2 linked regions of the Rhinolophus ferrumequinum genome follow. The protein of the gene in region 1 purifies or fractionates together with the protein of each later gene. This does not show direct contact. Links are inferred from orthologs where the notes say so. Each region holds a gene or a part of one and is shown on either strand. Other genes may lie near its edges. The genes, in order: DPF2 and SMARCD3.

Region 1 (15,083 bases):
GCAGAGCAAACGAGAGAGAAACCCCAGCGGCGATGATGCTCCCAGGGTGGAGGGACAGAAGTGGGGAGTCAGAGCAGAGGGGGAGAGAGAACAGACGTTGAAACACTCGGTGTTGGACTCCTGGGGCCCTGGCTTGATTGGGGCCAGCAGACCTGGGTGCCATCTATCGAGAGGGTGACTGCCTGCTGTGTGCCCCCTCACTGGCACCCCCACCCCAGGGGACAGCAGAAGCCTCTCCCAGAGCATGCAGGTCCCGCCCGGCAGGTAGCAGAGGCCAGGGCCTCCCAGGGGTCTCAGAGGGAAGCAGTCGGCAGGCAGGACGTGTCCAGGCTTGTTTTACCACTCTGAGCAAGAACACAGCCCTCCTTCCTCTCATCGCCTGAGCGGGAGCTGGGTCCAAGGCAAGGCTACCCACCCACTCGGGAGGCACTCACTGTCACAGGCATAGGGCTTGTCCCGGTCCTCCAAGATGGAAGCGTCCAGCTTCTTACGGGCACTGCCCACACCTTTACCCTGTCAAGAAGAGCAAAAGTGGGGCTCATGAAGGTGCCTGGGCCGTGAGGGCAGTTCTCTTGGGAGTGGTGGTTCGTCCCGCGGGCAGCTTGCGGCCCTCACCTTGGCCTTCCCCTTGCCCCGCCGTTTGGGCGTGTCCTCTTCATAATCCTCATCGTCCAGGTCATCCAGGAAGTCCTCCGGCTCCAGGATCCGCTGAGAGGACAGGGGGATGAGGGGGCAGAAGTGACTCCCCCGCAAGGCCACCCACAGCCTCCTCTGGGACCGGGCCTCTGCTCCATCCTCATTCCCCACTGCTGTGTTTCAACAGCCTAGAATCCTGCTCCTCCCGTGTTTTGGGCTCGCCTTCCTCTGTACGGCCCTTCGTGTGGTTCCCCTCGCCCGGAATGCCTTTCCCACCGCCTCCCAGGGCTGAGTCAGATGCCAGGTCACCAGGCAGCACTCCCGGACAGCCCAAGGAGCCTGCCTCTGATTTCCTGCCCCAGGGGCACGCGCAGCGGTGCTTCCCTTCCGGCAGCTCACTTCCTAGATTTGGAGCTTTGCTGCTTAACTGTGTGGCCTTGGGGGAAGTTTCTGTTAATTGCTCTGCTTCAGCCTCCCTGCTGTACAGACTGGAGAAAATGATGGAAAAGCGAGTACAGCGCCTGGAGTATCTTCAGCTTGTTATTTTTATGTATAGTTTTATCGTCCCTGTTGGCAGGGAACAAGGTCTGCTTCATCTATGTAACCCCAGGTACCAAACACCTTTTGTGACAAAGATGAATGAAGGAGAGTCTGCACTTAGGAGGAAAGAAGAGGGAAAGGCTGGATGGTAACAGTGACGCCAGCCAGCACCCAGCGCTAATGAGGGAATGAGGCAGGAACAGAACTCCAGGGGCCAGCCTCCTGGCCCGCAGTGTCTGCTGCCATTCTGATTACTGGGTGGCCTCTGATGAAGAGGAGGCTGGATTTCATCAAAGCTCCCTTAGCCAGAGTGTTAACCTTGTACCTTCCTTGCTCGACTGTTGGTCACAGGAAACTCGCCCAGGCTGTCATCATCAACTCGGGGATCTGGGGCGCCTCGCTTCTCCAGGGGGTCGGTGCGCAACAGAGCCTCTAAACTACTGCCGTCTTGAGAGATGAGCCCCTCCTTTTTCAGGGTCTGGTCTGTGTCTGCAGGCAAGGTCAGGGTGAGGCGAGGCTCAGAGGGGTCTGCACCGTGCTAGGCCAGCCACCGTCTTCTGGTCTCTGGCTGCCCAGGAACCCAGAAGCCCTTGTTCACCTGGCGCCACAGCTTATCTGTTGACCTCTCTCTTTTATTAGACTGAGTTCTTTGAAGAAAGGATCACATCTGATTCATTTTAGTATCTTCAGGCTCTAGCTCTGAAGATTAGCAGGCCTCTGATCATGCAGCAGGCCATGCACCTGCTCAGGGAGGCGTGTGCTTTACCTGGTTTAATAGACGGGAAAGAAAGTCTTGGGTCCTCAGGAGGGTGAGCTCGCCGCTTTTTCCGCCAGCGCCGGGCAGGGTAGGAGTACAGCTGCCCAGAGGCCAAACCTGTGGAAAGAAGAGAGGGAAGTTAAGCCATAACCCAGCTAGAAAATAGTATCAAACACTTTCTAGATGAGTAGGCCCCACTTGAGTTCTAGCGCAAAAAAGGAATATGGGCAATGCTGGGGGCGGGGGTGTGGGTGGGATAGTTTATGGAAAAGAAAAATTAACTCAGGGGCCTTGGCTAATACACAGCTTTTCAGAAGCCCAATAACAGCCTCAGCAGGGCAGCCCTGCAGAAAACCAAAATGCCGGTATGAATCTGCTTCTTCCTCCCTGGGCTTCTAATCATGGGAAGATCACATCCATCCACAGGTGGAAAGCAGGAGGGAAAACCCTCTCAGCTGCCTCACCCCTAATACGAGGAGGCTTCTTCCTCCTCGCGCTCCTGAGTCAGGACCCTCACCTGGACCCCGGTGTCGCTTTTCCATCCAGATATAACAGTTGCTCTGAGCTACTCCGGTCTGTGAGTCCAAGAAGGGCAGGCGCACACTGCGCTCAGCACAGAGGCGGGCATTGTAATTGTGGCACTGCTCCATGGCATCTTTGTAGTACTGCTCCCCAAGGCTGCAGGAAAGACAAAAACCAGGTGTGCGTGTATGTGCTGGGGCTGGGGGCAGGGCACAGGGCGCTGAACTATTCCTCTCCTTTGCCATCTGCTTCTCTACTAGGCTCAAGGGATCGGGAGACTGCTGCGTTGGCTCTAGTTGCCTCCATTTCTGCCTCATGGGACGCCAAGCCCCTTCACTAAGCCATTATGAGAAAAGACACTTTACAAATAAATTACCGTCAGGAACGCATGACTTCATCATTTGTCTAATCAGACGTTAAGTCTAACCCACAAAGAAGAAACGAATGTTCATTCTGTGTCTCTCCTGAGTTCAAACTCTGGCTACTCGAGATGCTATTTCGCTTAACCCTTGTGACTCTGAGAAGCAGTGGTTAGCTCCTATTTACAACAGAAGAAGCATTCAACAAGGTCTGGGGGACTTTACTAAAATAGTCAGCAAACTGTATATCCATACAATACAGTATATCCATACAATGAAATTCTATTTAGCCATAAAAAAAGGAGGAAGCTCTTCATGTACTGATATTAAACAATATCCAAGATATCTAGGGAAAAAAAAAGCAGTACAGTGCTGAGAATACTACCATTTATGGAACAAAGAGGTGGAAAAGAAACTATATGCCTCCAGGGAGAAAAAACAGGTGACGTGGGTACTTTCTCCTACATGCTTTTATGTCTTTTGAATTTTGAACTAGGTACTTAGCCAATTAATTAATTCTATATACTAATTTTATAGTCAATGGAAAACATCTGAAAATACCTGGAATTCCTTGAAGACTACTCTTTACTAAGTACCATTACACCAATACTAAACGTGTTTTCTCAAAGGCCCATCCCAGGCTCTTCCTTTTCACACCATCAAATTACAGTGGTACCTCGGTTTTCGAGCGTAATCCGTTCCGGAAGACCGTTCAAGTTCTGAAACATTCGAAAACCGAGGTGCGGTTTCCCCATAGAAAGTAATGCAAAATGGATTAATCCGTTGCAGACCTTTAAAATCAACCCCTAAAACTGCAAATTTAGCAGTTTTTTTTATCTAATGATAGTAAAAATGAATTTAGAAAAATTTAGCAGTTTTTCTTTACTATCTAATGATACCATAGATCCATAAAATTTACGGCGTTCGTAAACCGAAATGTTCATCAACGGAGACGTTCGAAAACCGAGGTACCACTGTATATAGGAAAGAATTTTGGACTCAAAAGACTCAATTTGAAATCTCAATCAAGGGTAAATCTTTAAGTGCTCTAAGAAGCTGGAAAACTGCACAGTGCCAGGAGTTATCTGGTTCTAAGTGTGTATATAGAACCAATCTTGTTCTCAGGGCTTAACAAACACTTTAGCACTGGAGCTTAAACTATAACAATTCGTATTTATATATTTGATAATCTTAAACAAAGGGCAGAGGCAATTTCTTTCCCACAGTATTCCCAGTACCCATGAAGGTAAGGTGTCTGGGGCATCTTGATTTGACTTAGGAGTAAGAAGACCTGGCTTGGATGAAAGTCACCAAATAAACACGCACAGGTATAGACTGGGGAGGTTGGATTAGATAAGTTCTAACATATTCTATGAGAGGGAGACCCCTTGCATGAGAAGCTGGACAGAGTAAGTCTGTGTGGCTTATGTACGTAACTTGAGCTACACCAACAAACTCTTCTCTGGAATCAGAGGGGAGCTTTCATTGAGCAGCCACAATAGATCACTTAGGTACAGCTTAGCAAGTTCCTAGCAAATGAAAAAACACACCACACACAAGGTGGTGACACCACAAGATAGCCTGGTTTGATTCAATGAGCTGTAATCCCTGTGATTTGAGGCAGCATGAATCCTGTGTTGGCGAGTGGAGAGCACAGAACAGGCTCACCTTGGCTTGCCTTTAGGAGGCAGCCATGTCCTCCTAACACAGAAAAATCGGATAAACAAGGTTGAGAGCAGCAGCTACTTTGTTTCTGCTGATGGGAATTGATACTGACATTGGAAGTCAAATGGAAGGAAGGGCCAGATGGGCTGAGAGCTGCAAGGAACAGCTTGGGGGGGAATGGAGAGTAAAGTTCTTGTGAGTTAAGGGGAATTTCAGAAGGTGAGGCAAACTGTCCCATGAGTAAGAGAGCTGGGACTGAAACACAAATTGGGGGGAGAGAGGATCTGATGGAGAGAGAGCAAGAGAGAATGAGAGAGCTCTTGAAGAAATGAAGGATCCTATCCCAAAAAATTCAAGCTGACATTATTCTCTAGATCTTGTTATCTAATCAGAAGGTATCAAAATTAGTCAGCAGCCACAGCTATTTAGTACTCTTATTTTACCTTAGTAAGACACCTTAAAGACTGTTTCAATTCTGATACCACATTTGGGAGGGACAGAGAATTTACAAATAGGGCAATTCTTCTCCCAAAACAGATGGAAGTCAGAAAAGATGAGCTGGTAGTCCTGACCTCGATGAATACAACCTCAGCTGTCAGAAGACGAGACACACCACGATCAAGAGAGCAACAGAAAAACATCTCACAGGGTGAGAGTGGTACAGGAATGAAAGCCTCTTCTTAAAGGGAAAGTTCTGTAGGAAAATGTATTCATTGTGATCCACAGCCCTCTGCAACTACAATTGAGGAGAAAGTTGGTTTCTCATTACTGGTACTCAGGAACCAGTGGCTGGTGACCCTCACAATCTCTATAGCTCTTTAAAGAGAAATAAGAAATCTTGCTCTATTTAATCGGGCAACTCCCCACTTCTAACACTACACAAAAGGGCTGGCGATCCTATTTCCCGGAAGAAAGTCTTCCTTCATAAAAAAATCTCATTACATAACACTCTCAAAACCTAGGCCAGTCGGACATTCTTCCAGTGTAGTAAGATTTGCGAGGTAGAAGCTTTGATTCTTTTTCAGGAAGCATGAAACCTGTGTAAAACCTCCCCTTACAATGGGGTGGGGGGAGTCAACAAAGAGAAAGGCAGGGAAACAAAGAAAGAACATCTGAGTCAGGAAGAAGAACTATATAAATGGTAGATTATTTCTAAATTGAGGGAAATGTCAGCCTGAAGAGAGAGCTGAGGAAACTGGAGTGGGCAGATCACAGAGAAAGATAACAGTGATGGGAGGAGGGATGGCTGAAAAAAGGCAGCAGGATAGAGCTGAAAGCAAATTTAAAAAAAAAAAAAAGAAAAAAACCACAAGAGGAGAAGGCACTTAGCTTAATGGAAGTGGGAAAGCTTTCTCAAAGAAAAGGCTCCAGGCAGGGGAGGCGGGGAGAAGCAATGTACCTTATAAAAGGCTCTTGGGAAGAGTGGGACTCAGCCCACCACAAAGACAAATGAGAAGCTTTAGAATAGTTCCCAAACCTTTACCTTGTCATCCAGTCAAAATCCGAAAGCCCTGGCTGGACAACTAGACACCTCTCAACGTACCTACCCCTGCACCAAGCCCAATTAACAGGAGCTTGTTCTATTGGCCCAACGGGGCACGAACCCATTTCAAAACCCATTCAGATTCTTCGTCAGGGAGGAGGCTGTATTAAATCAACTCCCAAAGCATCTCGAACTCATAGCTAACAGGCCATTTCCCCAACAACCATTAACTTTAACTTTGCTCGAAATCTGCCCAGCACAAGAGTATTGCCGCCCTCGATGCGCCTCCAGCTGCAAAGGCATCCTGCCGTCCAGCTCCCGTGTTTTGATGTCTGGGACTGGCCAGCTCAAAGGCCTTCTCCCCTGAAGTTCTTTCCCTTCTGTATCTGCTCAACAAATTCTTCCCGAGAATATTTTTGGTCTTGAATACCTGCTACCTAAGACACCCCCCACCCCACACACACACACGCCGCGGGGCTGCCCCGCGGTGCTTAACCGCGTGGAGGTGCCGCGCCTGTTGCTCCAGGGCCGCTTAGTCGACCGGGAGGGGTCGGTGGCCGGCCTTCGCGGGGACACTGGTCGTTCCCGGGTCCGCCCTCCGCCGGGTTCCTCCGGACTGCGGCGTCTCGGAAGGGACCCCGGAACTGTGTCTCTCGTACGCAACAAGGGAGCCATAATCTGGAAACCGTAAGCCTCACACAGCCCAGGGAAGCTGCCCGTCAGGAGCTCCCGTGTGCCCCCCTCAGGGCCTCCACAAGTTTCCAAAGAAGCGCAACGTCTTCTCCGGAGTCTCCTGTTGCCCTCCACAGCAGGAGTCGCAACATGGCCTTCCCCGGCACGTCCCTCTCTTCGCCTCGTCCATTCCCGCCCAGCCCCCTCCTCCCAGGCCCCTTACAAGACCTCCCGGCCTAGGAGAGAAAGAAATGACCACTCACAGCTTCACTACATTTTCCACCACGGCCGCCATCTTCCCTGCTCCTTTCCCTCAGGCCGGGAGGCCCGGAGCCTGCAGCGCGCAGGCGCCGGGACCTAACGGGGGGGACCTAGTTTCCTTGTCCCTCTGCGCAGGCGCCGCCCGAGCGCGCGCGCGTTCCAGAGCGAGCGGCGGAGAACCCGCTTGGCGCCCGCTCCCGCGGCCGGAGAGCCGAGGAGCCCGACGCGCAGGCGCGATGGGTACGGGCGCGCGCCCCAGCCTCCTGCTTGAGCCCTGCGTCTTCCATTTGGAGGAGCGGGAGCGGGATTTACCCTGGTCCAGAAAGGAGAAGGCGAGAGGTTGGTGAAACTGGCAGGCCCAGAGGTGGGCTAGATGGAGTGCATGCGTCCTGCAACCTCGCTCATCTTTAATCTCGTGCTTAACTCTTTGCTCTCAGTCACAGGTGGGTAGCGGAAGGTAAGAGTGGTGCATAGTTCACTTGGGCCGCCAGACATACTATTCCCATTTTAGGGAGAGGAAAATTAATGCCTAGAACTGGGCAGTTCTTTGGCCTAAATATTGGGGTCTGATAAAGTTATCTTCCTGCCACCAAACTCACCCACCAACTGCACTGGTACCCATCTCTTCTCCCTTGCTTCTTACTCCTATCTAAGCTCCTTCCCTCCACTTAGGTTTTGAAGAACTTCCTTCCTGCAACTGTTCTTCTCTCATCTGTACAATTAATTTCTCCCTCACTGTTGAGCCATGCAAATTCGTGTACAAACATGGCTTAATATTCTCTTTAAAAGAAAGCGAAGCTCTTCCTTAAGTCCATGTCTTCATTTATCACCCTATTTCTTTTTACCTTTTCATAGCAAGTGTTCTGTTTATATTCCCTATCTCTGTTGACTTATTTCCAAGTCTTTCTGCCCAATTTAATGGGGATGTTTCCCCCCACCAGTTCACTTGAAATAGCCCCTAACAAAAATCAACAGACTTAGAGATCTCCTCTGTCCCCAACAGCCTGTCAACCCCATGACACAAGTGACCACCAGTCTCTCCCTTACCACGTTTCTGAGGCATGCACCTGGCTGTCCTCCTGTCACACTGTCAGTTCCTTCAGCCTTTTCTGGCTCTCCGACGTCTGTTCCACCTGTAACTGTCAGAGTCTCCAGGGCTTGGTCTTTTGTCCCTGTCATATACCTTATTTCATCATTTCCAAGATGCACATATTCCATGTCCTCTCTCCCCCCCATTTTAATAATTCAGAATCAGGGCACATCTTACCATCACTGTGCCTTAAAATCGTGTTTGGCAGATGACAGTTGAGAGGTATGTGTCATTGTCTGCCTTCCATCAAACTTGCACAATAGGTGTCAGCAGCCTGGAAGAAAAACCAGAGATAATACTGGTGCACTCTTTTACCCCTGGGAACTGAATGATTGGGAGGACAAAAGGTGTCAGAGGTGACTCCAATGCGAGAGTCAGAAAGATGTGTTATGGTCTAAATGTCCTCCCGCCAAAAAAAAAAAATTCACGTTGAAGCCCTAACCCCCAATGTGATGGTTTTTGAAGGTGGGGCCTTTGGGAGGTAATTAGGGTGAGGTGAGGTCATGAGGGTGGGGCCCTCATGATGGGATTAGTGTCCTTGTAAGAAGATGGATCTCTCTTCACGAGGAAAGCCTTGTGAGGACACAGCCAGAAGGCAGATGTCTACAAGGCAGGAAGTGGGCTCTCACCAGGAACTAAATCTGTCGCCACGTTGATCTTGAGCCTCCAGAACTGGGAGGAATAAATGTCTGTTGTTGAAGCCACCTAGTCTATGGTATGTTGTTACAGCAGCCTGAGCCAACAAAAGCAGTGTGCTAGCTCTAAAGCTGAACACTCACATACTCTGATCCAGAATTTCCATGTGTGGATCTATATACCAAAAAGCACGTACAAGAATGTTTACATTAATTGTAATAGCCCCAAACTGGAAACATCCCAAATGCCCACGACAGTTAGAATGGATTAAACAACAATAAAGAGAATAAACTATTGCTACAGAACATGAATGAATCTCAAAAACTGAATATTGAGTTGAAGAAGTCAGTTTTAAAAGAGGACATCTTGTATGATTCCATTTATATAAAGTCACATACACAGACACACTAATCTATGGGGATAGAAGTCAGCAGAGCGGTTACCTTTAGAGGACAGTGGCAAGGAGAGGGCAGGAGGTGGCTGCCGAGGTGCTAGTAATATTTTTTTTATTCACCTGGGTAGTAGTTACACAGGTTTGTCACTTTGTAAAAATGAATTGAACTACACAAGATTTGTGCACTTCTCTGTATGTATAGTCAGTAAAAATTTTAAAATAAAAAATTAGTAATACTAAGGAGGCTAGTTCTGTACAATCGGAAAGGCAGTTTATGAGCCCAGCACCAATGGCTTTCAGGTCTTGTAGGATTCTTTTTTAAGAAATCACTGAACAGTAGATACCCTACATGTTCTGAGCAGTGACCAGTGACGAGTATATAGTGTTTCTCTTACAGACAGGAACCAAGGAGTGGAAGTGGGGGTGCAGCCGCTTGCCATCTCAACTAATGACCCTTTTGCAAAATGTTTCCTGTTCCTGCGACTCGGCTTTTGCTGATCTAGAGCCGTGAGGACCGAAGAGAAATGCTTCCTCCAGAGGCACAATAAGGATTTCTCTAAATTAGGAGCTGAGCCTGCCGGTGGGTCGTTTTGTATTCCACATCCACTGGGCAAGAAGGTGAAAAGCGGGTAGCACTGTTGGCTGGGGTGATTGATTCTTATTATCAAGGGGTAATAGGATTGCTATTCCCCAGTGGGGGCAGGGAGAACTAGAAATGAAACCTAGGGGATCTTCTTAATGTTACATTCAGGTAGTTAATGGGAGACAGGCTCCTGGTTAGGTATTTAATTCCCACTAAGACAAACTAAATATCAGAGAAAGGGAAAAAAAAAATCTTAAAACCATTCAAAAGCTAATAATATAATGAAAAATTACTGGGCCAACATTTAGGAGGCTGAAATCCAAAGAGGTAAGCCCAGAATTCAAAGCAATTTTTGTCCTGAAGACATTTACTGATCTGGAAGCTATAACTGAAACTGAGCTGTCTTTGGTGGGAGGATCAAAAATCAAAACCCAGAGCCTGCCGGTGGTCAGATATCCCACCACCACGAACACACACACACACACACACACTCACACACACAAGCACGCACATTAAGATGGGACTCCTATTTCTACGGACTAATATCCCAGAATCATATTATCTGGGTGGTTCAGGAAAACTCAAGCCTTGAACTTGGATTAAACTTGGGTTGAACTTGGACCCATCCTTATAATGTTCCTTGTCACTTGGCAAAAGCAAGCATATTTGGTACCAAGCAATATTCTTTCTGAAGGAATGTACTGCCATCCAAGGCCTCAAATTATTTCTAAAACAATTTTTTCAGGTATGATATCCAGTCCAGTCAAAGGTAATCAGGCACACAAAGAAATCTTGCACGAGAACTGATACACACCACAGAAAACACAAAATGATCCACAAAGATTTAAGATACTGGAATTATCTGATAATGACCATAAAATAATACTGCTTACTGTGTTTAAAGAAGGTGAAGACAAGCATAAAAATATCTGCAGGGTACAAGCACCTATTAAGAATTTCTACAACAGAATTTTTAAAGAATCACGTAGAACTTCTTGAACTGAAAAATACAATAACCCAAAGAAAACAACAAGTTGGTTAAAAAGCAGATTACACAGAACTGGAGAACCAGTGAATAGGTAGGAAGAAGTTATCCTTAATACATCACGGAAAGACAAAAGAACAGAAAATACAGGGTTAGCGTAGAAGCATAGAGGATATATAGAGAGCTCTAAGGTACATTTAATTGGAGTCTCAGAGGGTAAGGAGAGAGAAAGGGGCAGAGGCAATATTTAAAGAGCAAATGATAATTTTCCAAAAATAATGAAATACATGAAGCCACAGGTTTAAGAAGTCCAGTAAAGCCCAAGCTAGCTAAAGACTTAATGGAAATACACGCTAGAGTATTTGGAATGAAGTGTCACAATGTCAGCAACTTAACTTTCAAAAGGTTAGGAAAAAACTTGTATGCAGAGATAAAGCAAATGAGGCAAAATGCTAATAAATTGGCAAATCTAGGTGAAGGTAGATGGATCTACATTATACTAGTCTTTCAATATTTCTGTAGTTTTGAAGTTTTTCAAAATAAAAAGTTTGGGGAAAAAGTCAGTTCTATACGGGGAGATTCACTAAGGTGTCAGATTCTTTAAAAATGAGGGTCTGCAACATGTCACCCGGTAAAAAACCCTGAACAGCCAAGATAGAGGCTGAGGTCAAAGGGAACAGAAGCTGGGTAGTGAAAGAGGGAATTGATTGCTACCAGTTCCAGCTTTGTGGGAGAAAAAGTCTGTAGCTTTCTTCGTATATCAAGTATATATTTGATACAGTATTTTAATTCTCCCACTATTCTTTCCCTCCACTCGTCTATAGGGTGTATTGGTGGTAATGAACTTTACAGCGTAGTTTATGGTTTACAAAATATTGAGATGGGCTTGTAAAGGAATGGCAGGAGGAATGGACGTCATCTAGAAATCTTGGACTTGGAAGTAGATGTAGTAATTGGCAAGATTTTGAGTTGTCGCTCTTTGGAAAAAGTGACTGTATTTTTGACAGGAATAGATGCATTCTACTAGGGAGGATATATACTATTTTTAAAGAGTAAATACAGAATAAGGACATCATGAGTGTTGGGCATGTAAAACAGTAGACTGTAGGGACGTTTGTCACTTTATTCAACTTTTCCTATTTGGGAGCATTCCTTTTTGTGGGTGGTGTTTGTAGGACATGGTGCCTGACCACCACTGGACGAGCTGACGAGGGAAAGTTGCTCTCCACCCCAGGTGTAAGCAGGTATCCTGAGAAGTTAATCTGATGTTTCAGGTCTCTTGCTTGTTAGTTCCTTTTCTCCACCCAACATGGCAGCCACTAGTGCTTTCCCAGGGCCTTTGGACTGGAGCTTGATGCGGGGTGAGTGGGGAACAGTTCCAAGGGACGCAAGGCAAGAATGGCCCCCTTTTGTGGCTACTCTGGCTTCAGCTCAGGTCCGGGGTCAGGTGCTGCCTTCCAGCCAGGTGAAGCTCTAAGGAAAGGGTCCTTTTTTCTTGTCTTCCCCTCCCAGGCATGTGGGGGACAAGCCACCCAGATGCTGAGGAGGAGCCTGTAGCAGGCAAGAAAACGCTGGCCCTTCAGCTGCTCACCTTTTGTCTTCACCCTTTACCAGAGTCTGAAGCTGAAGCCCTGTGGGGGAGAGGGTTGCAATCAAGTATAGGTTTTGGGGTCTCACAGACCTGGGTTTAAATCCCACTACAGATAGGGAAGCCCCTAATCTCTAAATGATGGCAAAATTTTCAGATTAAAAACAAAGTTTGGTGGGGATGTAAGATGGTGCAGCTGCTATAGAAAACAATACGGTGGTTCCTTAAGAAATTAAACATAGAACAATACGATCCAGCCCACAAGCATTGAAAGCAAAGACTCAAACAGATATTGAACACCCATGTTCACATCAGTCTTCTTCACAACAGCAAAAAGGTAGAAGAAACTCAGATGTCCATCGATGGATGAATGGATAAACAAAATGGGATGTATATGTGCAATGGACTATTATTCAGCCTTTAAAAAGAAGGAAATTTCAGTACAGGATACAGCATGGATGAACCTTGAAGAGATGATGCTAAATGAAATAAGCCAGTCACAAAAAGACGAGTACTGTCTGATTCCACTCATATTAAGTCCCTAGAGAAGTCAAATTCAGAGACAGTTGCAGGGAGAATGAGGAGTTATTGTTGAATAGATAGGGAGTTTCACTTTGGGGAGATGAAAACCGTTCTGGAGATGGATGGTGATGATGGTTGCTGAATAAAGTGAATGTAATTAATGCCACTGAACCATACACATAAAAATGGTTAAAATGATTGATTTCATGTTATATATATTTTACCACAATAAAAAAAATGCATCACCTGCAAAAAAAAAAAAAAGCTGTGTGGCCCAGCAAAATGTCTCCTGGTCTAATTCTGTCTCTGCCTCCAGTATGAAATTTCTACCTGGAGGCAGGAAAGGTTGGGGGTGAGGTGGGGTCTGGGACTCAGAGGGTCAAAAGGATGGAATAGAACCAACTGAGAATGAAAGGGGACCACTGAGGCCAGCACCGAGCCCCACCTTACGCTTTCCCCTCCTCTCTGTCCCCACTGTTCCCATCTGGTCCGGTCCTCCTCAGCCTGCAAGGGCTTCCTCCTCTTTGATCTCTGGTCCATCTTCCACTTGGCCTCCGTGGTGACCCTTGTAAAACCTGGATCTGGGGTGACCAGTTAGCTCAGTTGGTTAGAGCGTGGTGCTCGTAACACCAAGGTTGCCGGTTCCATCCCTTAATGAGCCATTGTGAGCTGTGCCGTTTAAAAAATAAAAATAAAACCTGGATCTGACCACGTCTCTCTAACTTAAAAATCTTTCAGCAGCTCCCATTGCCTCAGCTGCAGCCAGCAAGCACCCTGTTCTGACTGCAAAATGCTTTCCCAGCTTCCCAGTCCTGCCTTTCCTGAGCCCCCAGTTCCTTTACATGACACCCCATAACCAAACATTATCCCTGGTTTGCTCAACGACCCTACAAGGCAGGTATCGTTGACTCCATTGTAGAGATGGGGAAACTGAGTCTCACACAGGCTAGGTAGGACTTAGAGATCTTTTCACTACATAGCGGCTCCTCTCTGTCACTCACCCTGGTGCCTCAGTACCTTTACTTATGCCTGAGCATATGTCTGTTAGCCCACGTTTGGCTCAGAATCACATCTGATCCCTGAATGTCCCCTGACACCACCCCACCCCTGCCCCAGGTATTCCCAATCACGTTTTCTTCATAGATCAACACCGTTGGAAATCATCTTCCTTGCTTACAAATTTAATATCCTTCCCTCTTAGAATGCAAACTCCAGGAGAGCCGGGATGGCGTCCGTCTGGCATCCCCAGCCCCTAGAGCAGGCCAAGTGCACTGTAGATGCTCAATAAACAGCGCTGATGAGCTGAGTCTGTTGATCAGCACTGTTGGATCCCTCCCAGCCCCCCGCCCTCAGAATCAGGTACAATCTTCCAAAGGGCAGGGCCTGCTCGGCAGAAAGACAAGGGCTGGGGTCTCCCCAAGGGTCAGCCCAGGTGGCAGAGATTGGCCTGTCTTCAGGGCTAAGAGTGTGGGGAGCACAACTATGAGCAGCAAGTTTTATTGCAACCAGAACCCTTGGTCATGTGGGAGGGGATGGGGTAGAGGGACACTGATCACCGATGCCACGCTCCCAGTCCAGGACATGACACCAAAAATCTGGCTGGCTGTGCCCTGCCTCTTCCTCCACCCCTTGATCAGGGCATCTGAGGGACCTGAGGCGGAAGGGAGCTGAAAGGGGAGTCCATTTCAGCATAGCCTTCGTCTGAGGGATCTGAGGGAAGGAGGAGCAGTTGGCAGTGGGGGTCCAGGTAGCCCACGAGGCTCAGGAACCCGTGGGCTGAGTGCTGCATGTGTCCTCGTGGGTTTTAAGGGAAAGCAATGAGGCACATTCTGCCCATGGGGAGAAGGTGGGAGGAAAACAAAGGCTCCAAGTGAGAAATTGCTGGCCAGTGACCACACAGGCGGGCCCTTGGGATCCCGACTTCTAGGCCAGGATCGTGTCCACCCTCTGCCTCTGGTATTCACTAGCCTGGATGCCCAGCCTGGCCCACCTGGGGGCCTATGTGGGCATCTGGTCCTGGTCCATGATCTGGAGGACGTCGTCCAGGATGGAAGGCCCCAGGTCCACGTGCAGGGAGAGCAGGGAGCTGCCGTGAGACAGGAAGGGCTCCTCGGTTTCTGATTCAGGAGTCAGCCCATTGCGGGCCGAGCCAGCCTCTGGAATTCTCCAGATGTCCACACTTCCTGCCTCTGGTGGGGAGGCCTGAGGGGTCTCCAGGTGCAGGCGAGGGGGTTTGGGTGGGGCCTGGGTTGTGGGCAGGGTGAGGGCCTGGGGCCCACCGATGACCGGGAGGGAGATGGCGTTCTTGAGCAGAGGGGATGGCCCTTCTGGGTGCTCCCGCCCACACAGCGTGGCAGTGCGGGTAAACTGGAAGGGGAGGTCAAAGGTGC
Region 2 (15,950 bases), on another chromosome or scaffold:
ATTTGCTGCTTGTGGCTCCTGGGTGTCTCCTTACCCTCCTTAGGCCAGCTTGAGTTCTTCAGACCTGTGGCCACCAAGTGGCACCAGGAAGGCGGGAGAACACGGCCCTGGGGCTACCCGGGCACCCTGCCTGCTTATGGCCTTGTAAGCACGTGTTCCCAAAGGAAGCAGTGCTTCAGGTGGGAGGGCAGGGAGCAGGGCGATGTGATCATGTGCGTGTTTCCTCCCCAGGAGTTACACGGACACACGTGTGTGTCTATCCAGGGAAGCCACTGAACCGCCCACTGCTCCATGCACAGGAGTTAGGGGCTAATTCAAAGTGTAATGAGGATTCTACCCTGTTTCCCCGAAAATAAGACCCAGCCAGACCATGAGCTCTAGTGTATCTTTTGGAGCGAAAATTAATATAGGACCCGGTATTGTATTATATTATATTAAAGACCCGGGCTTATATTATAGTAAAGTAAGACTGGGTCTTATATTAATTTTTGCTCCAAAAGACGCCTTAGAGCTGATGGTCCGACTACGTCTTATTTTCGGGGAAACACGGTATTTGGGGGCCTAAAGGGTAATTCTTACACAGGATCTAAAGGAACCTACTGAAATTTATTTTAGACACCTTAATAGCAAATTTTCTGGAATTTGTATTCCCAATGTTTGAAACAATCTGCTTGAGATTTTTTGGGGGGTTTATTTCAAAAGGTAATTGAGGGTAAATCAGCTTAAATATACAGGCCTCTGGGGATCTTGATGTCCTTCTTTAAAAGACAGGTGTAAGGGCCTGTGTGTATGTGTGTGTGTGTGTGTGTGTAAGTATTTCTATCTGTCAGGCATTACGCAAGGGCATGTTAGGGAGGCAGCTTGGAATAAAGGAGAAAACCCGGGGCCTTGAATCGGGAGACTGGTTTGCAGTCCCAGCCCTACTTCATGACAGCACAGTGACTTTTGGCAAGTCACATGGCTTCTCCAGGCCTCCTTTTCCTTATCTTTAGAATGGGAAGCCTCCCCGCTACCTGGTCGGGTCTCTGTCAGGATTAGGCCAGTGACTGTGGTGAAAGTGCTTGGTCAACAGTAAAGTCGTATACAAACCTAAGCTGTTGCTATTGTTATCAATCCTACGATAACATGAGCACAGATTGTAACATCATCCGGCATTTGGAAGCGCGTGAGAAATCCCCAGCTGACTTGGCGTGGGTGCTCTCTCTCCCTCTGAGATATCACGGTCTCTACCAGGTGCCAGATGCTTGGGATTTATCCATGAAAAGACATAAAAGAGTCTTTTTGGAGCTTACATTCGAACAGGGGAACGGAGCAGTTAAACACTAACATAATAAGTAAGTAGATTATATAGAATGGTGGAAGGTGTACAGTGCTATGGGGAAATGAAGCAGAATAAGCGAGATAAGGTGTGTGGAGTGGACAGAGGGCTGCAATTTTAATAGCGTGGACAGAGTTTGCCCCTTTGAGAAGGAGACATGTGAACAAGATTTCAGGGCCCTAGCCACGCAGGTAGCTGGTAGACGGGTGTTTCAAAGAGGGAACAGAAGGCCCAAAGCCCCCAGGCTGGCGAGTGCCTGGAGTTTCTGAGGAACCACTAGGAGGCCAGAGGCTGGGCAAGAGAGAAGAGTGAGGGAGTGGCGGGAGCTGAGGCCACAGAGGGAGCAGGCAGTGGCGAGGGGATTGGGTCCTGGGACCCGCGGGAGCGTGGCCCTTACTTGGAATAAGATGGGGGGCTTTGGGAGGGTTTCAAACAGAGAAATAATGTGATCTGACTCCCCTTTTTAAAGGATCGCTCTGGTTGCCATGTTGAGAATAAACTGCTGGGGGCAGGTCGGAAGCAAGCTAGTTCATATTCACCAATTGCACCAGGGTGGGAGCTGTGCGAGGTGAGAAGGGGTTGGATTCCGGATCAAGAGGCAACAGGACTTGCCTTCAGATTGGATGTGGGACGTGAGAGAGAGGCAGGATTCCAGGGTCATTCCGAGGTTGTGGGCCCAAGCAATCTGAAGGAGGGTGAGGACGGTGAGAAGGAGAGGCCACATTTGAGGCAGAGGAGCAGGAGTTTTGTTGTGGGCGTATGAAGTTGGAGCCATCGATGAAAGATTCAGGTGGAAATGCTGAGTAGACAGTTGGATGTAGGAGTCTCAGGGCTGGGAGAGAGGATTGCGCTGGAGGAAAACTTTGGGAGCTGTCAACATAGAGATGGTATTTAAAGCTCTGAGACTGGATGACAGATGAAGTCGCCAACCAGGTGATTGTGGAACAGTGAAGAGGACCAAGGACCGAGCGCTGAGGTGCCCCAACTGAACGGAAAGAAGAGCTGGACAGCCCAGGAGGTGAGAAGGGGCAGCAAAGGACCCAAGAGGAAAGCCCAGAAAGAGAAACGTCCTACAGCCAAGGGAAGAGAGTAGGTCCGAAAGGAGAGAGTGGTCAACTGTGTCAAACGCTGCAGCTGTTTAAGCAAGATGATGTCTCAGCGTTTGGCAGTATGGGCTGAACTCACTGGTGGCCGTGACAGGAGCATTTCCAGGCTGGCAGCGGTGGGATGTGCCCCTAAAGGAATTGGGGTTTCTGGGGAAGTGAAGGCAGTAAATAGAGACAAGTCTTTTTAGAAGTTTAGTTGCAACTGGGCCGTAACCGATGGGGGACAATGATGGGACTTCGTGTGCTCACAGGAGGAATCCAGTAGCCAGGGGAAAGCTGACCGTTGGTGGTGAGGGAGAGGGTTGCTGGAGCAAAGTCCTTGAGGGCGGGAGAGGTGACGGGAGGCAGGACACAAGAGGATGGGCTGTGGACCAGCGCACAGATAACTTAGCTGTAGGAACACGGGAGAGAGCTGCTGGGAGGCAGGAGGACGGGTGGGAGTCTCTGGAAGGTCGTTGGAAGCTTCCCTTTTCTCAGTGAAGCGAGAAGCAAGGGCACCAGTTGGGAGTGAGGAGGGGAAGGAGTTGGAAGTTGGAGGAGGAAGACGTGGAAAACTCAAGTGGAAGAGGGCAGCGGAAAGAGAGGGAGGTCAGGCAGGTGAAGTCTGTGCTCCTGAAGCGCCAGGGAGACCAGGTCAGGACGACTGAGTGTCTTTCTCCTGCCACATTCAGGCGCTGGGTGCAGGCGAGGAGTTGGTGAAGCTGGATTTAACTCTTAAGTAAGAGAGTCCAGAATATATGCAGGGGAGGTTAACATGGTAACTTTCGTGTTACGTCTCTTTTACCATGGCTTAAAAAGAGTGGGTAGGTGTGATGAGGGGTACAGGTCCAAGTAAGAGATTGCAGTGGAGTCACAGTCTTTTGGGGGTCAAGGCACTGGACAGAGTGAGCTGTAAGGAAAGGAGGTAGTGGTCAAAGAATGGGGTGCATTAGACTGAGTTTGAGGGTGGGGGCTGCAGTTGCTGGAATGACGAGGTCCAAGAGATGACTGGAGTTGTGGTGGACGGAGGGGGAAGGATCACCGCAGGAGAGGTCGCCAGGGAACCAAGCCCGTGAGAATCCTGAAAAGCAGTAGGAAGTAGATAGGAGTCGTGTTGGCGGGAGTGACAGTGAGCCAGGAGCTGGAATCCTCAAGAAATGAAGGTACTGTGTATGTGGGTAAGATGCAAAGCCACCTGCCAGGGCAAGGCCAGTGGTAGGGGGGCTCTGGGAAAATCATCCTTGGGGGTGGAGCATAGCTTCTGTTGCAAGCAAGCCAAAGCGATGTTCACAGAAGTGGCCACGTGGATTGGGAATTTTATTTATGACAGACACACAGAGGGTTTAGGTCGGTGGGAGGTGAGAGAAGCAGAGGGGGACATGGAGCCTGTGGAGCTGACAGTGCAGGAGTTGAGGGGAGTCTGGGCTTTCCATCGCACCTGACACAGTCATGAAAGAAGGGCATGTGACAGGCAGGTGCACCAAGGCAGAGGTGGCAGAGAGGCAGCTTGCGAGGTTAGGAGAAGAGAGGGCAGGGCTCCCCGGGCCCTGTCGGTGAAGGGGAGAAAATGCGTTTCAGATCCTGTGACTGAGCAGAACTCATCCTTGACTCTGGATGGAGTTGAAGACATCTGGGAGGCCAGGTCCCTGTGTTGTTTCCCTGGATATACTATCTATACGGTCCACTGCCAGCTGCCCTTTGGTTTAATTTCCCCAAAAAATGTCTTCAAGGAAATGCAGAGGAATTCTTTTCTCTATTCAGTTTTCTTCCCTCAGCTGATATCCCAGACCTCAGAATGTAGGGGTTGGCAGAAATCGCTCTGACCACCTGGTCAGAGCAGTAGCTGAGGCCTCGGAAGCTTCCCAGGTGAAGGGCAGGACATATGCCACCAGGAGACTGAAGTACAGCCAAAGGCCTTCCCAGCCCAGGGAGGACGAGGGAGCCAGGGCCCAGGCTCGAGGCCTGGCAAGGGGGGACAGCACCCTGTCCTTCCCCTGGCACTGCCAGCCAAGGCCCTTCGGGCCTTCCGGAGGTCAGCAGTAAAGCAGCAGCATCTCATTTCACAGATGAGGACACAGCACACGGGGAGGAGGTAGCATTCCTAGGACCATGTAGCAGGCCGTGAGCAGAGCTTGGTGTTCTCAAGAAGCCGCGCGCGGCTGCCCTGAAGCTCCCCAGGCCATGAACACAGTGAGAACTGGACCAGTGTCTGTTCCCATCCTTGCCAAAATGGGGACCAGGCCAGTGTGGCTCCTTTTGGCACACAGCCACAAGCTGTTGGGCGTGAACTGCTACAAGACACTGCCTAATGAATGGCGGCCATGAGGGGAGTGAGCGAAAACTGGCGGTGAATCTAAAATGTGCGTAACCTCTAGGCCTGCGCATGCTCAGGGCCCCAGAGCCCCAGCTCCTCTCTCCTCCCAGGACTGGCAGTTAGAGCATCCTCTGTTTGCACTTACTGTGTGTGAGGTGTGTGTGAGGGCGGGGGGGGGGGGGGGGGGGGGGGTGTCATAGAGCCCCCATTAGACTGAGGAAACCCACCCAAGCAAAGAAGGTTTCCAACTACGCTTTATCCTGCACCTGCTTACTATGCAGGCCCCTGGGGGCCGCAAGGGGGCCCTGCTCACAGGAAGCTGACAGCATTGGACGTATGTGTGACAAGGGACCAGGCTTCACCTTGGGTTCGCAGCACCCTCTGACTGGGCGTGGGCCTGCTTCTCTGTGTCTGCCTTGGTTCCTGTCTCTGTCTTATGGAATCCTTGGATTTCAGGGCAGGAAGGCCCTTCTTTTACTCCTGAGGAAGCTAAGGGACAGGGAGGAACAGCGACTTGCCCAAGGTCACACAACTATTTTGGTGTCCTATTTTTCCTTTGTTTTTTACTTCTTTCTATCATACGTGTTTCTCTTGTGTGTTTGCAAAACTGACACAGAAAGGCGAAGTCTCACAGAGGAATAGACAGCCCCCTCCATAGTAGCAGAGGGTCCTGGACCCAGAAACATTCTCCCACAAAGAGGAAGAGACCCGGTGCTGCTCTGGCCTGGGAAGTAGTGAGGGGTGGGGTGGAGGAAGTCCGTGCCACCAAGCCTCTGGTCTGTTCTGCCAATGTCCTTTCTGCTGGCTGGAGGAAGCCCCTCACTAGAGGTGGGGGTTAAGGGACAGACTCCCCTCCAGTCATCTCTGGGCGCTGGGCCTGGCCCCATTGGCTAGCCAGGGTTCCCTGGTGTCCCAGGACTTAGGCTGGGGCAGAGCCGCCTCTGGGCCCCCTGGCTTGCCCTGGGGTTTAGTGATCAGAGGGGAAAATGGGGGCTGGCTTTAGGGATGGGCCAGATCACTGAAATCAGGGGTCCTTAGCCTGAGAGCTTCCCTCTCTCTCTCTTTCTCTCTCTCTCTCTCTCTCTCAACACACAAACACACACGCCAATCCACGAAGGTAATTCCGTTTCGCCAAGGAAAGCTTTCTTGCTGGGAATAGAGGAAAAACCGGGCAGTGCAGAGGTCTCTCCCTTCAGCTGGCTTTCCTTTGTTCCTCCCCTGCCTTCCTCCCTCTCCCCTTCCCAGCTTCCCTCTCTCCTCCTAGCTTCCTTCTTCCATTCTCTCCTCTTACTCCCCTCCTGCTCCTCCCCCGAGCAGGGTCCCCGCAATAGGACTTCCACAGAAGGTGGGGAGGGTGGGACTCCGGGTTCCGGCCCCAGCCTCGGTGACCATCTTCCCGCAGGGAAGGAGTTAAGTCTCCTCGCTGCATCCCTCCCTCCTCCGCCTCCCCCTGCCACTCCGAGTCCTGCAGCTAGGCCCTGGGCTGACCTTCACCGGGAGGGAGGCCGCAGTGCGCATGCCCGGCCCGGTTACTGCCCGGCTCCCACCGCTGCCGGGGCCCGGGCGGCCGGGCGAGGGAGGGCGGTCGCGGGCCGGGACGTGCCCCCGGCGCTCGGCGCGGTGGGGGGGCTGCCGAGCCTGTCCCGCCGGCCGCGGCGCATCTCTCCCTGCGCGGGGAGCGGCGCTTTGCCATTTGGTGCCGGTGGTGCTTCGGCGAGGGAAGGAGAGATGGGGGGACGGCAGGGGGGACTCCGGCTCCGGGCGCCTGGCGGCCGCCCTCCACCCAGACACGCACATGGCCTGGCCAGAGCGCGCCCTGGGCCGGGTCGGCCGAGGCTAAGGGGACTGGGACTAAGGCCCCCTGCCCGCTGGAATGGGGCATACCCGGGGCCTCCTTCCCACCCGGCAGGAGCCGGTGGCGGGGCACTGCTGAGCGCCCGCCGTATGGGAGCTGAGCCGTTGGGGATCCTGGCCTTTGTGAGGTGGGAGTCCTGGCCGGGCACCCACACTCCCGCCTCTGCTTTCTAGCCCGAAGGCTCCCCCGTGACCACACCCCTGAGGTCGCCCCTGTAAAGTCGGCATGCAAACGGGACTGCGGGCGGGTGCCTTGTGAGTCTGGCCTTATGAGTGGGATGTGGAGTTGGTTAAAGTGTGCCCGTGAGTGCCGAGCCGGGTGGCTCCTGTCCCCTGGTGTTTGCATTGGGGGGAGGGGGCGGGGCATGTATGCATTAGGTGCTGCATAAGGATGTCTCCCAGGGGGGTGGCTGCAGGGGAGGCCCTGGTCCTGGGGGGGTCTCAGGAGGGGGTTATCTATGGACTTGAGTGATTCTCACCAGCTCCTGGTTTCACCATAGCCCTTGGTCTACACCCCTCCTGCAAACTCTACCACCAGCACCACCTCCCTCACAAACGCTGGGAGGGTTCCACCCTCAAACTTACCAGCTACCCAAGCTGGGGTGCCCATCTGTCTCCTCTGCTGTCTTCTTTTTCCAAAAGGCCTATCCAAGAGTTGAGAACTCTGTGCTTCACACAAAGCTAGGGGAGTGTACCCCTGCCCCAGCCCTCTAGAACCTCCAAGGCCTGTAGTTTCACAGGGCCATATGAGAAGCACCCACAGGGGGTGGGGGTGCCGTGGTGACTCCCACCTTCAGGTAAGTGGCAGACTATGAGCTCCATCCACTGGCCCACTGAGCTGTGGGCGGTTGCAAGTATTAGCAGACCTTTGGTCATGTGGACTCCCTGTGTCCAGGCATGAGGGGGGAGTGGGATGTAAAGGCCACTCAGGGGGCCACAGCCGATTTGGGAAACCAGACCTACCACACCTGAAGCACAAAGCATATCAGACATGAGTCAGCCCAGTGCCAATTTATGGCTCAGGATAGGTGGCAGTCGGCATTCAGATAAGAGAAAGATCTGTGCACACAAGTGGGACCAGGGAAGGCTTTCTGGAGGAGGCCTGAGCTGGGTTTTAAAGGATGAATATGATCTGGGCAGGTAGATGGGCAGTAGAGGGCATTCCAGGCAAAAGAATATCTGGAGCAGAGGCTTAGAAATGGGAATAAGTGAGGAGTTTTGTTTTGGAGATTAGTGGACAGACTGGAGAGATTACCTCCCCAGGTTGCCAGCAATCACAGCCACCGTCATGGCTTATGCCAACCACCCAACCATCCTCAGTGCCACTCCAGTGCCCAGCCTTTGTGTGTGTGGGTCTGGGCTAAGGCCCAGGTAGAAATTTGGTAGAAAGGGGATCTCTAGGTCCCCTGCTAAGGGAGCAGGAGGGAGGTAGAGGAGGGGCACCCTGGACCACATGCCCCCTCTGGCCTTTCAGAAGATTCACTGAGGGCCCTTACATGGCCAGGGAGCACACCAGGGCTCAAGGGAAACCGGGCTGCAGGCAGAATGGCCTCCCCAGGCAGAACACTGCCTCAATTCTTTGTCCTGACCTCTGAAGGCATTTTGAAGGGTTGAGGGCAAGGACCCCCAGGGCAATGCTGGGTCTTTCAGGCCTAACCTCAAATAAGTTTTCCTACAAATTACCCCTGGCATTGCCCCACCACCACCACCTGGATTCTGACAGTGCAGCCCCAGGAGGCCTATAAGCTTGACCCACGGTTGTCCCCAAAGGAGGACAGAGGGGTGTGGTCTTTAGGGGCATGGGCAGGTCCAGGGCTCCAAGCTTGGGGATCTCAGGACTTGCTCCTCCTGTTTCCTGTCTTTCCTTCACCCTGGGCTGCCAGCTACCTCCACATCGCGTTTCTGAGGCTCCCTCACACCTCCTCCCCTACCCCAGTGCTCTTTGGGGTCTTGAGGCTGGCCCCACTATCCCCAGGAGCCCCAGCTCCTCTAGGTCTCCCACCCCACACCCTATTCCAAGGCCATCAGGCCCTGCTTGCCTCATTCTGTCCACCCATCCACCGAAGCACCCACCCCAGCTCCTTGCCTTCCCCCACATTTTTCTCTTCCTGTTCTCATGAGCCTGATCCACCTCCCTCTTTCCAAAGTACATCCCCTATTGCCCTCACTTTCTCACATAGAGACAAAGACTCACAGACCCAGAAATAGACTCACACGGAGCTGGAAGACACGCACCCACACGCGCGCACCCGAGGCTCCCGTGGAGGGAGGCACACAGAGAAGGCGTTTGTCTGTGCACGCACGTAAACATCCACACCCACAGCCACCGCCGTGCCCACACAAGGATGGAGACACACTCGGCCGGCGAGACAAGGGCGCACACATCTGTGAACGCAGGGGGACACCGCCTCCCCGGCACACCCACCACTGCCGCCGGTGGGAGGAAGGCCTCGTCCCAGCTCCGGCTCCCCCCATTCCTTCCAGCGAATGTTTCCCTACTTGGCCTGCCAGGTCTCTGGGGAAAGGGCCTCAGAAATGCAGCAGGAGCCACTTGGGGCAAAGTTGGAACTGACTGTTCCCTGCCTGGCCCTGCCGGCGGATTCCCTAACCGAGAAACTATTTGTGGCAAGAGCCGGGTGGCCGGCGAGCCCCCTGCCACCTCCCCTCGCGTCCCCTCCCCGCACCGCCTCCCGCGGCCCTCGGGCGGCCTCGGCTGCAGTGCCGCTGCCCAGCGCCCAGGAGCCGGCTTGCCGGCGTGCCTTGCGGCTTATCTGCGCTGTTTGGACAGCGAGGGTTGGAAAGGCAGGCTTTTTTGTCCCCGCCGAGTCAACAGGCAGACCCCGGGCCGCCGGACTATTTCTGTCTTATCAGTGCAGGAATGCGGCAGCCGCGGCGGCGGCGGCGGCGTGGGCCGTGGGCCGTCGGGGCAGCCCTGACGGGGCCCCCTCCCCACTCCGCTCGAGTAGAAGTGTGAGAGAGCCCAGCAGGACTCAGAGGGGAGAGTTGGAGGAAAAAAAAAGGCAGAAAAGGGAAAGAAAGAGGAAGAGAGAGAGAGAGTGAGAGGAGCCGCTGAGCCCACCCCGATGGCCGCGGACGAAGTTGCCGGAGGGGCGCGCAAAGCCACGAAAAGCAAACTTTTTGAGTTTCTGGTCCATGGGGTGGTGAGTGGGGGAAAGTTAGCGGGGGAGGGTGAGCGAGCTGGCTCGGGCTGAATGGAGGGATGATTGGGAGGGGCCGGGAGGGGGCTCGCTAGCCAGGGCACCACGTCCCGCGGCCCAGCCCCAGGACTGTGCCGGCGCCCTGGCCCCCGAACACGTCGTCAGGCGGCCGGCAGGAGATGGGTGCCCTGGCAGGGAAGGGAGGCGTTCGCATGGGTTCTTGTCAGGGGCTGTGGGTGGGACTTGGGGACTGTCCCCCCCAAGTGGGGGGGTCCCATCTGTACCAGTCGTATTTTCCTCGGTTCTTTCCCTTGTGGGCCCAGGTGTTGACCCTGCCATGGGGGTGGGGGTGGGGGACATGGCATGGGCTGGGCTGTCTGTTCATCGTTGGGAGAGTGTCTCTCTCTGTGTCTCAGGAGCAAGGAGCAGGTGACCCCTGGAGGGCTGAGAGCAGGAAGCTCTCTGGCTGAACAACCTCTACATCCAGTCAGGAAGGCTCGGGGGCTTTGCTGATGGCCTCTGACATCAGGGTCAGAGAGAGGCTCTCTGTAGGGACAGACCCCAAAGTAAGAGGTCTGAGGATCCCCTTGGCGGACTCAGCCACCAAAACCGCTGTCCTTAATACCTCAAAGGTGTGAAGGAAGGGCTGGAGTCAGGGACGCGAGGCCTAGAGACCGAAGGGGAAGGACAGCACTGTCCAGGACTTGCTGAGGGTCTGGGAGGCAGCTGGGCCAGGTTGGAGGGGAGTGGGAGAAGCAGGGACGCTAGGACTTGGGATGGGTGCTGGGGTTGGCATAGTGGAAGCAGTCAGGTTTCCTCTGGCCAAATTTGGTTGTGACCCCAAGGAAGGCACATTCTCGGTGAGGGAGGCCAGAATCCCTTGCATCCTGGCCCTTCATTGGGGGTGGCCCTGGTAGCTGCCACAGCTCCCTGGGGCCTCTTCAGCAGATCCACCAGTATCGCTGGCCTTGATATATCATACAGCAGCTGATAAGGAAAATGGGCTTATTTGGGGTGGCCTGTCCTCCAGCCCGGAGGATCTTTGGAGTAATTTCCCAGGGGTGTCTGTGTTGGTCAGCCGAGTGACCAGTCCTAACTTTGCTGCTTGGGTGGGATTCCCTTTAAAAAGGCCCATCTAGGAAGGAGAGATGCTGTACATATGAATTTTTTATTTGGCCAACTTAGAGCTTCAATTCTTGGGTGGCTGTGGGCCTCACTGCCCACTCCCAGGGCCCCATCTATGCCAGTGGGGAATGATGGGACCTGAGCTCCATTCTGGGCCACCATCCTAGAGGTGTGAGTGACAGGGTCAGGTGGGCGGGGGGTGGAAGACACATGGACAGGCAAGTTTCACTGTGGGAGAGATGGACAGAGACAGCTGGCTGGCTGGGGGTTAGGGTTAGACAAACTGTAAGGCGGGAGGGAGAGTTGGCAGATAGAAGGCATTCACCGGGCTCAGGGTCAGGGCTCCTCATGTCTGGGGGCAGCTGCAATCCTAGGGGTAAAGGGGTAGTGTTTAAATGATAATGGGGACACAGGGTCTGCATCCCTTGCTCCCTAATCTCCTTCCTGCTGTCCCTGCCCCAGACCCCATCTTACCCACCCTCCACTTTAGAGCCACTCAGGTCCTCTCCTATCCCTTCTTCTAGAATTTGGACAAGTGGGGTTTAAAAAGTCTGTGGAACACCTCACTTGATGAATTTGCATCTCATCTGCATCCCCTCTGAGCACCTGGGTAGTGTCAAGGGAATACACCTGCCTCATCTCCTCTCCATGACCCCCTTTGAACCCTGACTGGTGACCTCATTGGGGTGAGGTGGGAAGTAGAGGAGGTCTGTGGATGGGACCATCTCTGGTGAACCAGGTGGACAGCAGGAAGGGAGAGATGGATCTAAGAGGAAATGCAGCTGCTTTTGACCTACCCAAGCCCTCTGGGCAGTTCACCTCCAGGTGGCTCCTCCCCCCGCCCCCCCCCCGCCCCTCCTCCCAATCAGAGAGTCTTGGTGGGGTTTGACCTCAGCCCCTCAGGTTGTCTCCAGCCCCACCTCTAGCCTCTACCTTGGGAGCAAATTATGGGAGTGAGCCGAGTCAGAGAAGCCCCTGGTTCTGGGGGCTTGGAATCAGCCAAAGCCAGTAGGGGTGGGGGCTGAGAGTTCAAAAGTAGGCGCCCAGAGAGAAGCGTGGGGTGCGATGGGGAGGGAGAATGCAAGGCAGGGCGGCCCAGGAAGTGGATTGGGAAGCAGGGAATGGGAAGAGGAGCGCAGGAGTCCCAGCTGGGAGCTCAGCCCCAACCTAGGGGAAGTAGCAGACAGCAGAAAGCCCTGGCTTCTCAGGAACCAGCCGCTCAGGGCTGCCTTTGCCAGGAGCTGCGTGACCTTGGCTAGGTCGCTTTTCTCCTTGAGCCACGGTTGCCTCATCTGTCAAGTGGGATGGAAGGACCTGCTTAATCTGTCTTGCAGAGGAGCGTGTGAATGTGCACATCCTTTGAAAAGGTTGAAAGGAGCCATTAATATTCATTTTCGCGGTACCTTCCGCAAATCCGACGCTGGCAATGCCCTGTGCAATTGCCTGGCTTCAGTTAGCTTCCTGCAGCGAGACGCAAAGCCCCTCCGCCAAAGCCGCGCGGTTCCGGCGCCCCCACCCTTCCCACCCCTTGCTCACGCCGGCAGCATCAGGGTCACCAGCCGGGGTTTTGGGGTGGGGGAGACGCGGCTCACCGCGTTTGGAGCGGGGCCCTGGTCTGACCCGCGGGCTCCTGTTTCTGCTTCACCCCCCGCCCCCCACCCCCTCGCCTCAGCGCCCCGGGATGCCGTCTGGAGCCCGGATGCCCCACCAGGGGGCGCCCATGGGCCCCCCGGGCTCCCCGTACATGGGCAGCCCCGCCGTGCGACCCGGCCTGGCCCCCGCGGGCATGGAGCCCGCCCGCAAGCGAGCAGCGCCCCCGCCCGGCCAGAGCCAGGCCCAGAGCCAGGGCCAGCCGGTGCCCACCGCCCCCGCGCGGAGCCGCAGGTGAGTGGGACCCAGCGCGGAGGGGGCGGGCCGCAAGACCCGCAGGGACCCGGTGGGCGAGGAGCGGGATTGGCAGAGGCGAGGAGGAATGAGCAGCGAGGAATGAGTCGTCCTGGGTGGGATACCGTCCTGGGAGGTGGGCTGAGGGGCCACTGCTGTGCTTTCTTTGTGTGCCCACCATAGACAGGCCGCGGCCGTCGCGTCCTTCTCCTTGTCACCTGCTCGACCCTCTACCCCTTGTCCCCAGGTTCTGGGTGACGCTTCAGTCTTTGGGGTGGGTGGACTGGCAGAAGGGCTGAGGGCAGAGCTTTGGGACTGTGTTTCTCAAAGTGTGGTTGTCGGCTGCACCCTCCCCAGAATCCCCTGGCTTGACTGTTTAAAAGCCCCGGGACTCCAGGTCTTGGAAATCTGAATCACTGACCAGGGGGGTGGAGCCTGGGAATTTGCCCTACGTGGGTGTGTGTGTGGGGTCTGTGCTCAGTCCTGCTTTCAGGTGATTGTTAGGCACTCAAAGATTAAAGAGCTGTCATGATCTGCTCGGGCTCAGGTCGGCCCCCAAGCCACCAGGGGCCAGCCCATTTCCTTATGGGAACCAAATGATGGTACCCCCAAAACCCCTGCTGGTGCCTGACAAGAGACATGCCCCTTTGGGTTTCACTACTTAGCCACACACACATGCTTCCCTTTGCACACCAGATGGGGTCCTATAAAAAGTGTAATGTGGATTGTACCTCATTATTAAGTATTTTTTACACATCAAGGAAAATCCCGTTTATAGGAATACTATGAATTCTTTTACAAAGTGAATCGTGCTGTTATACAGTAAACAAGTCACTGATTTATCTTGTATAAATGGAGAGTGTCACATAGATAATTTACTCAAAACAAGTCAGACCTTTAATGAAAGCTCCTTGCCTAGCCGTGGATTTTTGGACAGGGAGGGGCAGTGGTTGAGAACACCACATGGGGGCAGTATAGAGCCATCCTCTAGGCTGGGTTCTAATCTCAGTTCACCAAGGATTTTCTGGGGTGCTTTCGGGAGTCAGAAGCAGCTACAAGGTCAGGAAGAGTCCAGATCCAGCCCATGGTCACGTCCCACAGGAGAACATCCACACACACTCTCTGGGTCCCTATGGGTGTCTCTCTGGGCCCTGTTGGCAGGTGGGCCAAGGTAGAGTACCCTGCGTGTCAGCGTCTCCTTCCAAGCCCCGGGTAGCAGTGGTACAATCCTCACCAACTTCATACTGTCACCTCCTGCCCCAGGGGTCAGAGTGGGACAGGGTCAGCTTCCCTCCCTCTGGGCTCAGGCCACCTTAGGGGGTGCACCCCTGCTTAGCACAGGAAAGTCCTCAGAAGCCACCCTCCTTCCTTGCCTGTCCTCCCTCCTCCCCAGCTTTCCTCAAACACTTGGCAGCTCCACCGCCCCCATCCCCTCTTAAATCTACATATCTCTGGCCCTGACAATGTGGTGGGGCAGAAGGGGGCTCCCAGGCCAGAGAAAGAACGGGGTCACCTCTGCTCTCGGCGACAGGACAGAGCGCCAATGCCACACACCACTGGCATAGCCCCTTGGGTGGGCAGACTAGCCGGCTGTGGGAACCCCAGCCAGGCGGGGGGGAGATGTTGGGATAATTTAGCAGGTGGCCTCGTTACTCCCAGATCTGTCGCCATGGTAACCTGGTTTTTTCTTTAAAAAATGTACAGTGCCAAGAGGAGGAAGATGGCTGACAAAATCCTCCCTCAAAGGGTGAGTGCCTTTCACAGCAGCCCCCAGCCCACCCCCCCGCCCCTTGCTGCTCTGCTCTCCTCTCCCCCACCCCTCCCACCCTGGTCACCAACCCTCCCCCCTCAGGAAGACAGCTTCAGTGGAACAGTCACTTTCACTTTTTGTTTAAAAAGCTAATTAAGAAGTGAGGCTCCTTAGGTCAGAGGGAGGGGGTGGGGTGGAGGGAAGGAGTGGAGCCAGAAAGGGGGCGCATCCTGGGCCTGGGGAGCTGTGCACTGAACTACTGCGGTCTGAAGACATACTGAGTGCGGTGGGGGGGTAGCTCGGTTGAGACATCAGTTGCAATGACTGGGTGAGGTGCCACGTAAAGGCAAGCAACCACAGAGCCCGTCTCAGGGACCCCGAGGTCCTAACCACTTCGCAGACACCCAAGGGAAGCCCAGAGGCTGTGTGACAAAGGAAAGGACAAGATGAGGTGAAGCCTCAGAGTTTGCTGGGCTCCATGGTGGCTCCAGCCTTCTCTAGTGATGACATGGATGGGTCCCTCTAGAGGGAGAAGCAATGTTTATTCCTACACGTCGAGGTGGCGACTGCTGAGTCAGAATCCTAGGGAGAGGTCCCATTCTCACAAAATCCCAGCATCTGGCCAGCTCCCCTCCACGTCTGTGTACCCTGGGGTCACATGACACGCACACATTCCACCTGCAAGATTGGTTGAGCCCCTGGTTCCCTGCCTCGCTCCTCCTCTTCCAGATCCGGGAGCTGGTCCCCGAGTCCCAGGCTTACATGGACCTCCTGGCGTTTGAGAGGAAACTGGATCAAACCATCATGCGGAAGCGGGTGGACATCCAGGAGGCTCTGAAGAGGCCAATGAAGGTGCCTTGATTTGGGGACAGGAAGCGGGCTCTGTGTCCTGTGCCCAGAATGGAGAAGCGGGGTTGCCCTGGGGCGGCGGGGGCATCCATTGTTCACTCTGTGGGACACTCTTTATTTCGACAGCAAAAGCGGAAGCTGCGTCTTTATATCTCCAATACCTTTAACCCTGCAAAGCCGGATGCTGAGGATTCTGATGGCAGCATCGCTTCCTGGGAGCTGCGGGTGGAGGGGAAGCTCCTGGATGACGTACGTCCTGGCCCAGGTCTCTCCAGGTGTCCTGGGGTGGGTATGGGGCTGAGCTGAGGACAGAGCTAGACGTTTGCAGAGAGGGTCAAGGAGTCAGCCCTGGCCAGGGCTGGGTGGCCTAGAGAGACATCTCTGTGGAGGCCTGCTGCTCTACCCGACCAGCCCCACCCACGCCCCGCTCATCTGCCCCCACGGTCCCTGTTCTGCCCCCACGGTCCCTGTTCCTCTCCCACAGCCTAGCAAGCAGAAGCGAAAGTTCTCTTCCTTCTTCAAGAGTTTGGTCATTGAGCTGGACAAAGACCTCTATGGGCCTGACAACCACCTCGTGGAGGTAAGACCCAGACTCCTCTGGCCCTAGAATCGC

Evidence for each region.
Region 2: the proteins of DPF2 (region 1) and SMARCD3 purify together in Homo sapiens (affinity purification with mass spectrometry; 3 studies listed by BioGRID and IntAct, counting the BioPlex papers as one, with this or other methods). This does not show direct contact. The link is inferred for Rhinolophus ferrumequinum from reciprocal best matches to the Homo sapiens genes DPF2 and SMARCD3.

What each region holds. Positions count from the first base shown.
Region 1 is NC_046294.1:6,325,081-6,340,163, forward strand, and holds the start of DPF2 (zinc finger protein ubi-d4), read right to left. Parts: upstream 7,047-15,083; 5' UTR 6,930-7,046; coding exon 6,898-6,929; intron 2,612-6,897; coding exon 2,451-2,611; intron 2,051-2,450; coding exon 1,943-2,050; intron 1,666-1,942; coding exon 1,502-1,665; intron 709-1,501; coding exon 616-708; intron 514-615; coding exon 435-513; intron 1-434. Other genes in the region: CDC42EP2 (cdc42 effector protein 2), read right to left, coding at 14,692-15,083. UniProt on the Homo sapiens protein: Plays an active role in transcriptional regulation by binding modified histones H3 and H4. Is a negative regulator of myeloid differentiation of hematopoietic progenitor cells. Might also have a role in the development and maturation of lymphoid cells.
Region 2 is NC_046309.1:3,655,368-3,671,317, forward strand, and holds the start of SMARCD3 (SWI/SNF-related matrix-associated actin-dependent regulator of chromatin subfamily D member 3), read left to right. Parts: upstream 1-9,274; 5' UTR 9,275-9,654; coding exon 9,655-9,732; intron 9,733-12,526; coding exon 12,527-12,738; intron 12,739-14,442; coding exon 14,443-14,485; intron 14,486-15,217; coding exon 15,218-15,340; intron 15,341-15,463; coding exon 15,464-15,586; intron 15,587-15,821; coding exon 15,822-15,917; intron 15,918-15,950. UniProt on the Homo sapiens protein: Involved in transcriptional activation and repression of select genes by chromatin remodeling (alteration of DNA-nucleosome topology).